2 linked regions of the Schizosaccharomyces pombe genome follow. The protein of the gene in region 1 interacts with the protein of each later gene in a pairwise test. Each region holds a gene or a part of one and is shown in the gene's direction. Other genes may lie near its edges. The genes, in order: SPOM_SPCC550.08 and SPOM_SPBC1773.16C.

Region 1 (3,929 bases):
TCATTCAATCCAACAGTTTCCTATTCACAATGACGATCGATTGGAGACAAATTGCTGCCAAATACTGTGCCCATCGAGATGGTAGTATTCCTGAACCTTTCAAAATTAAAACACTACCTAAGGATACCGTTTTGAATGTTACCAAAATTCCAAGTGAGTGTGGTCTCCTTACACCGAAGGAGATCGAACTCACTGAAAAATATGATGCGACAGCATTGGCCGAAATGATTAAGGATAGAAAAGTCACGAGTGTGGAGTTAGTCACTGCATTTTGTAAGCGTGCAGCCATTGCTCAACAACTTGTCAATTGTGTGAATGAACTCTTCTACGAGGAAGCTTTAGCTAGGGCCGCTGAGCTTGACGAGTACTATGCAAAGACGGGATCTTTGGTCGGCCCCCTTCATGGAGTGCCAGTTTCGGTGAAAGAGCATATTTCTATCAAAAATCACACTGCTACAGCTAGTTTTCTAGCGAAAGCCAACATTATTGCTGAGAAAGATAGTGATCTAGTTGCCACCGTTCGCAAAGCTGGTGCTGTTTTCTATTGCAGAACCCCCCAGCCTCAAGCTATCATGCATTTGGAAACATCTAGTAACCTTACGGGTGTAACCGTCAACCCTTTCAATCGAAAGCTCACACCAGGTGGTTCCTCTGGCGGAGAAGGTGCTTTGTTAGGCATTAAGGCGTCGGTGCTTGGCATAGGTAGTGATATTGGAGGGTCGATTAGGTCTCCTGCCGCTAACAATGGGCTTTTTGGCCTTCGCCCTAGTACCTTGAGATTATCACGCAAGGGTTGCCAAGGCGCTGTTAGTGGTCAAGAGACCATTCTCGGCGTAGTGGGTCCACTTGGTCGCAGCGTTCGTGACATGAATCTCTTTATGAAAGCTTGTATCGATAGCCAACCTTGGCTTGATGATGCATCGTTGTTACCAATGCCCTGGCGTTCAGTTGCCCCTCCTAAAACGCTCAAAGTTGGTATAATGCGTAGTGACAATGTTGTGAATCCTCAACCGCCTGTTGCTCGAGCCATGCAAATGGCTATTGATCAACTTTCTAAAAATCCCGATTTTGATTTAGTAGATGTAGAACCTTTGGATCACAAATATTCATGGGATCTTATTAGCGAAATGTACTGGCTTGATGGCGGAAAGGTTTATTACGATTTGTTTAACAAGGTGGGAGAACCAATTTTGCCTTTAACTGAATGGATTATGCATCAACCCAATGTTAAACCTCATGACATTACGGCCGTATGGAAATTGACTGCTGCTAGAGATGAATATCGCAATCGTTATTTGAAGCACCTTCAAGCATATGGAGTTGACGTTTTACTGACTCCAGTGGGACCTAGCCCTGCTCCTAAATTAGGGGAGGCAAAATATTGGACATACACATCTGTTTGGAACTTGCTTGATTTGCCTGCCGTAGTATTTCCTGTGACCACTGTTGATCCTAAGCTCGATGTTAAAGATGAGTCATACATACCGATGAATGAACAAGACGCAGCAAATTATGAAACATATTCCCCTGAAGACTATTTGGATGCTCCCGTAAGTTTGCAACTTGTTGGCAAACGTTGGCAAGATGAAGAATTACTGGCTGCCCTTGATAAAATTGTCAGCATGCTCTAGTAGGGTTATTGGCTTTTATATTTTTTGGAGTTTAATGATAATGGATATGTTCGTTTTATTTTTTTTTTATATACAAACTTTTCTATCTTTACTGTTCAATAGAAATGCGGTTTTTTATCAAATTGTTAGATGGACTTTGATTAAAAAAAGATGATAGGAGTAAGAACTACCGTACATATTTTGTTGTATGAAGAAAACTGTACAAGTAAAAAACATGCTATGTTATGACTTGAACAGTTTCCTGTCAGCTTTCTGGACTAGCTTATTAAAATTCGCACAATGATTTCTTTACAGATTTCTGCATAAAAGTATGAAAATAACTATACAAGTTCCTCAAGAAAAAGATAAAATAATCTTTGAAATTAAATTTCACAAAAAAAAATACTAAATGAAATTTGCTATATACTGCACCTTTGTTTGGGTTGATTGATTTTTCCAACAACGCATACCAAGTGTTTTTTGAATTTCTCATACCGTTTGGAAATTTTATATAGATAAGTTAGCTTAGTAAGGTAACCTTTAGGAAACTCAAATTAGAGCAGCCATACTTTTGTTTACCAGCATCGATCAATTTTCAAACATCTCTACAAACAACAATGTAGCACGTGTCTTGATTCATATACTTAAAGAGCTTTACTGTGTTTTCTCAAATGAGTACCAATAAATCCTATCGCAGCCATATACGGCTTTACGGTATTCTCCTTTAATTTCTCAATCGTTGATTAGAGTTGCGCGCCCTAATGCGTATTCCCAGCGTACAAACAAAGCGCTTCTCCATGGACAACTATCGCAAGCTATGGCCGAATATATGCCCGTCGGCCAAGATAGCACGGGTTAAGTGGTAGGCGAAAAACTTTGGCTACCATTGCTTAAGGGAATCTTCATTGAACTACGGCAATGAACTTAGCTCGCCGAAAGATCATGCCAAATTTCTTGTAATTTACTGGTATATATATGATGAAAATCTCGCTTCTAATTGCTTCAAAGCAAACGTGAACAATCACAGCTTCTTAAACGACAGTAGAAGATTATCGCGAATTACCAATTGCTCTTTCTAGTTTGCCAAATTGTGCTGGAATCACTCATCGATACATTTTTGTTTTATTTAGAACAGACTTGTATTTATATTTTGCGTTAGTGCTGTCTAAGTACATTACTCTTTAAGTACTGCTTCTTACTTTATCTTAAGTCTAAATCATGGCCGCTAAACGAGTTGAAGCTAAGGATTACAAAAAAGCTGCTGCTACTTTAGTAGATGCCTTCTTCGATGACCCTGTCTGCGTCTACCTTTGTCATACTACGAATGAACAGCAATTTAAAAAATTGATGACGGAGATGTTTGAGTATATTGTATATGCGCACATTATTCGCGGCCTTGTTCTGGAAGTCGGCGATTTTGCTGGAATTTCTTTATGGATGGGACCTGGGAATAACATGGATGATTGGTATTCCATTCTTCGTAGTGGTTTATGGCGCCTTAAGTATAAACTAGACGGAGAGGGTCGTAAGCGTTTCTTCAATGAATTTCTTCCTATTCTCAATGACACGAAAGCCGACGTTTTGAAAGAGCGTGATGACCATTCTTGGTATTTGGTCTATGTTGGTGTCAGCAGCAAAGAGCAGGGAAAGGGCTATTTGCGAAAGCTTATTGAGCCTATCTTTAACATCTGCGATCAGGAAGGTCTCCCTATCTATTTAGAGTCGAGCCATCTTCATAATCGTCCAATTTACGAACATTTTGGATTTGTTTACCAACAAAGTATCTACTTAACTCGTGACAACCAAAAGGTTCCTCTTGAGATTATGATTCGTGAACCTGAGACCGAATCCAAGGCTGAACAAAGTGCGAAGCCTAAAGCTGCTCTTAGTAAAACCGTATCTGCTTCGATTGCTGAGAAAGTAGAGGGTTCTCTCGCTGTATCATCTACTCCTGTTTGCTGAGCGAATCTCCTATTATTCGATTTTGCATAACCCTATTAACTCTTAATCTTAATTTCATTTTCTTATTTCCAGCCTAGATTCGAAATTCCTTATCCATTCAATCTCTAAACACTTTATTTAAAGCAGACAAATTTGGTTTTGCTATTTTTTATCTACAATCTGCATAAACACAATTTCTTTTCGTATTTTGAAAAATGAGCATACAGACTCGCTTAAAATCATAAACTAAGACAAATTACTTAAGTGTTTCTATGAAATAAAATAATAATCTACACAGAACAATCGTTACACAAGTTCTTAATATGAGTTTATTGTAAACTGAGTAGAATAGTATTTTCATTTGCCTCCAAATGACCA
Region 2 (3,929 bases), on another chromosome or scaffold:
ATCATAATAGAAATCGCCTGGAGGCAGAGGAAGAGAAAAGACTAGGTGCGTCTTTTGTTTCTTTCGATGAACTGCTAAGCTCTAGTGATGTAATTAGCATTAATTGCCCTCTTACCCCAGCAACTCACGATTTAATATCCACGAAGGAATTTGAAAAAATGAAGGATGGAGTTTATATTATTAACACAGCTCGTGGTGCAATAATTAATGAAGATGCCTTTATCAAGGCTATAAAATCTGGCAAAGTTGCTCGTGCAGGTCTCGACGTGTTTTTGAATGAACCTACTCCCAATAAATTTTGGTTGGAATGCGATAAAGTAACCATCCAACCACATTGTGGTGTATATACCAATTTTACGGTTGCTAAAACAGAGGAATGTGTTTTAGCAAGTATTGAAACATTTCTTGATACAGGAATCCCCACCAATCCAGTCAACGGTCCGTTCGGCATGAATGGTTGTTGATGCAAGTCAAAAGTCCTTTACATCTACACAAGTAAAGTATATGTTAATAAAAAATATTCATTTTTATGTTGTTGCTTTTTGTGAGCACGTATCTGTAAAGAATACATATGAGAGATTCTGTCATTTTGAATGCTGCTTTTTGGGTCAGCCTGTTCAAACTTACATAGTTGAAAAGATTATCACATCCTTATTTTTTAAAGCTAACTATTTATTATTCACTTGTTAAGATGCTCCTCCTCTCAGGGAAAAGTAAAAGTAGAAGTTCATTTTCCAAAATGGGACTTTACAGAAAAATTGAATATCTGATTCCATTTCAAGGATTTGGAAGATATTTATCTTTGCGTGCGTATACTAGACATGCTCGCATAATTTTATAGTAGGATGCTAGCAACGGTGATTAAATTGGCAAGTCGAATTATCTTAGATCTAAGGCTAAAATCATAAACTGCTATAATCTTTTAGATATCAGGCTACTACAAACTGCTGTTGCCAATTTAAAATGGTATGGTACATGAATCGATCCTTCGATAAATGTCTATCTAAGTGTTCGTATTAGTCAGAATATTTTGGTTCCGAACTGATATCCTCCCGCGTGTGCATAAAATATTCCATTTCATTCAATATCAATTCATAAACTAGTCATTAGATGAAGAAAATATTTCTAGTTCGTATTATTTATATAAGCATACGTAGAACCATAAAGTCAGGCAGACTAGTTCCTAGTTTTGGCTTGAGTAAGTTCAATTTCACTTCGACGAAACTGGCGTTTATCAACGTACAAATTTAATTCTTTCCTCAATTTAAGAAAAATGCCTCTTTTTTTTAACTTCGTAATATCTATACGGTAAAGACATGTTTAAAATGGTATAATCTAATGAGCTATGTAGTTTTCATCTTATCAACTGCAGCTAAAGATGGGTTGCTTCAATATCGTGTTTGATTATCTGCAAAATGTCCGACATCTTTCATATTGATTACTATTAAACTTTTTTTTTTTTTTCAACCAGAATAGTATCGACTGGTTACCCTTTATCAAACTTGTGTGACTAGGTTGAGTTATCAATATGGACCATTCGTAAAGCCCACAGCAAAACTCATTCGCAACTAGTCTGTGTTTAATATATACAGCAATTGACAAGATTAAGCATAAATATATAACTAAAAAAGACTCACATTTTTAAATGAAAAGGATCAGAAATGCTTGTGAATTGTGCAGGCGTAAGAAGCTAAGATGCAATGGTGAATTAACTTGCCAAAATTGTATGGTATATGGCGAAGAGTGTCGTTATGTTAAGCGGGTTAAACATGACAATCGAGCAGCAGTACAAGAAAACGAAAGGTATCCTATACTCTACACTCCGCTCAGCACTTCAGATCATGATAACGACGAAGAGAATGAAATCAATGAGTTGAAAAATGCTGTTAAAGCTTTGGATAAACGTTTTGATAATTTCGAATTAAAGCTAGAGGCTCTTTTCTCTTTATTAAGATCTCAGCAGGACTCAGAGAGGAAAGTGAAACCCGGGGGTTTTCCATCTTTGGTTTCACAGATTTTGAGTGCAGGGGCTCTCGTGGATTCAAAATTGCAGGCATACACTATGAGAACCAATTTTTTTTCTAATGGATTTAGCAGCAACGATTTATTCCCCCATAGCTTTCCTACTTGGAAAAGTGCCTTTCGAGATGTTCCAGACAAAGATTGGGCTAAAACATGCTTGGATTGGTATTTCAGATTTATCAATTGTAATTGGCCTATATTTTATAAGAAACAGTACATGGAAAGCTTTGAAAAGTTATATATAGACAAGAATTTGGTCAAGGGTGCCTGGATTGTCTCGTTCTATGCTATTTTGGCTTTGGCTGTATCTCGAGACAAAAGAGTCGATAATAGTAAATTGGCGGAGTCTTTTTTTGCTACTTCCTGGTTTCTAATTCAAAGACCTGGCTTTTTTCTCACACCGCAACTCGAAAAAATTCAAGCATTAGTGATCATGATTCAGTTCGCAAGTCATCTGTCGTTGTACAATCTCTGCAAAAAACTTTGCGGTCAAGTTTGTTTGATGGTTAAGGATTTAAATTTACACAAAGAAAGTACAGACAAAGATCTTGACCAAGATATGGCAGAATTGCATAGACGAATATTTTGGGTATGCTACATTTTTGAAACTACCACATCCTTGATTTTCGGAACCCCTCCCGTTTTGGGAGATCTGGAAATTGAGTGCAAATACCCTGACATTAATTATGCTCATTGTTTTGCTGAAAACGTCCAAGGAGATTTAATATTTACATGTGAAATATCGTTAACCGTTTTGAAACACGAAATAAGGACTAAGCTCTACAATAGTAATAATGTTTTTTTAGACAAAGGTCAAAAGGGTGTGATATCTAACATTCAAACAAAGATATTGAATTTTGAAAGAGCCATTCCTTCTGAAATGAAGCATTATTTTGAGATACTTAAGGCAGGTAACGGGCTGCCCGAAGAACTGGATATTATTAAGCAACATTTTTTTACAGCTTGCGTGGAAATATATCTGTCATATTGCAATACACTTATTTATTTATATCTCGCGGACGATAGCATTGAAGGATCAAAAATTTGTTTAAGCACGGCTAGAGCAGCTATTGACGTTATTAAGGGATTTTTGGTGGTTCTTGATCCTATTTCAAAAAATATTTGTTATCTTTGGCTGTTTCTTTATTGTCCGTTTACACCTTTTTTGACGGTTTTTTCACATCTTTTGGAAGACGACGACTTGGACGCTGATATATGCGTCAAGGACGTTGATCGGTTATACTCTATTCATGCTTTTTTTTTAAAAATGAAAGATATCAGTGGAGAATTTGCTGAGAGGTTATCAGTTATTACTGAGAATTTTATTCAATCGGCTGAGCAATATCTTGCGCTGCAAAATACAAGTGTGTTTGGGACATTTGATGCCTTGAGCGAAAGTTTTTCAATTTAATATTTATATACTAATAATTTAAAGGCTTAAATATGTCCTTTTATTTGAATGCTTACTGTATCGTGTTCTTATCGCTTACTGTTTTCAAAGCGCATGCTTGATATATATATGGCAAGTTAATTTACTTTGACGACAAGTATCGGAAAATATTTATGTCGTGAGGATTCTATGTACAATATAATGGTTTTAATCAATATATATTATCACTTTAACATTTTTTGATCGATTCATTCACCGGGCAATATTATCTCAACAATTTCTAATCTGACGGTTTGCGGGTTTTCCAATTTAGCGAGAACATGAAATAACTTATAGCTCATATGTTATGTTATAATTAGCCAACGACTTCGTAAATTTGAAAAATTAATGCTTACTTAGACTGGTTGTCCTATACGCCCAGGTCATCACTTTTTAGAATTTTCTAGTACTTTTAATATATTGGTTGTTTTCGGTTATTGATAAACAGTTCTTGAGCTGGCTTGAGTCTGCGATGCTA

The links.
Region 2: the proteins of SPOM_SPCC550.08 (region 1) and SPOM_SPBC1773.16C interact in a two-hybrid assay, tested with the Schizosaccharomyces pombe proteins (one large-scale study listed by BioGRID).

The regions. Positions count from the first base shown.
Region 1 is NC_003421.2:1,198,161-1,202,089, forward strand, and holds SPOM_SPCC550.08 (N-acetyltransferase), read left to right. Parts: upstream 1-2,068; 5' UTR 2,069-2,828; coding exon 2,829-3,572; 3' UTR 3,573-3,865; downstream 3,866-3,929. Other genes in the region: fah2 (fatty-acid amide hydrolase), read left to right, coding at 30-1,631.
Region 2 is NC_003423.3:318,197-322,125, reverse strand, and holds the start of SPOM_SPBC1773.16C (transcription factor), read left to right. Parts: upstream 1-1,560; 5' UTR 1,561-1,645; coding exon 1,646-3,433; 3' UTR 3,434-3,929. Other genes in the region: gor2 (glyoxylate reductase), read left to right, coding at 1-464.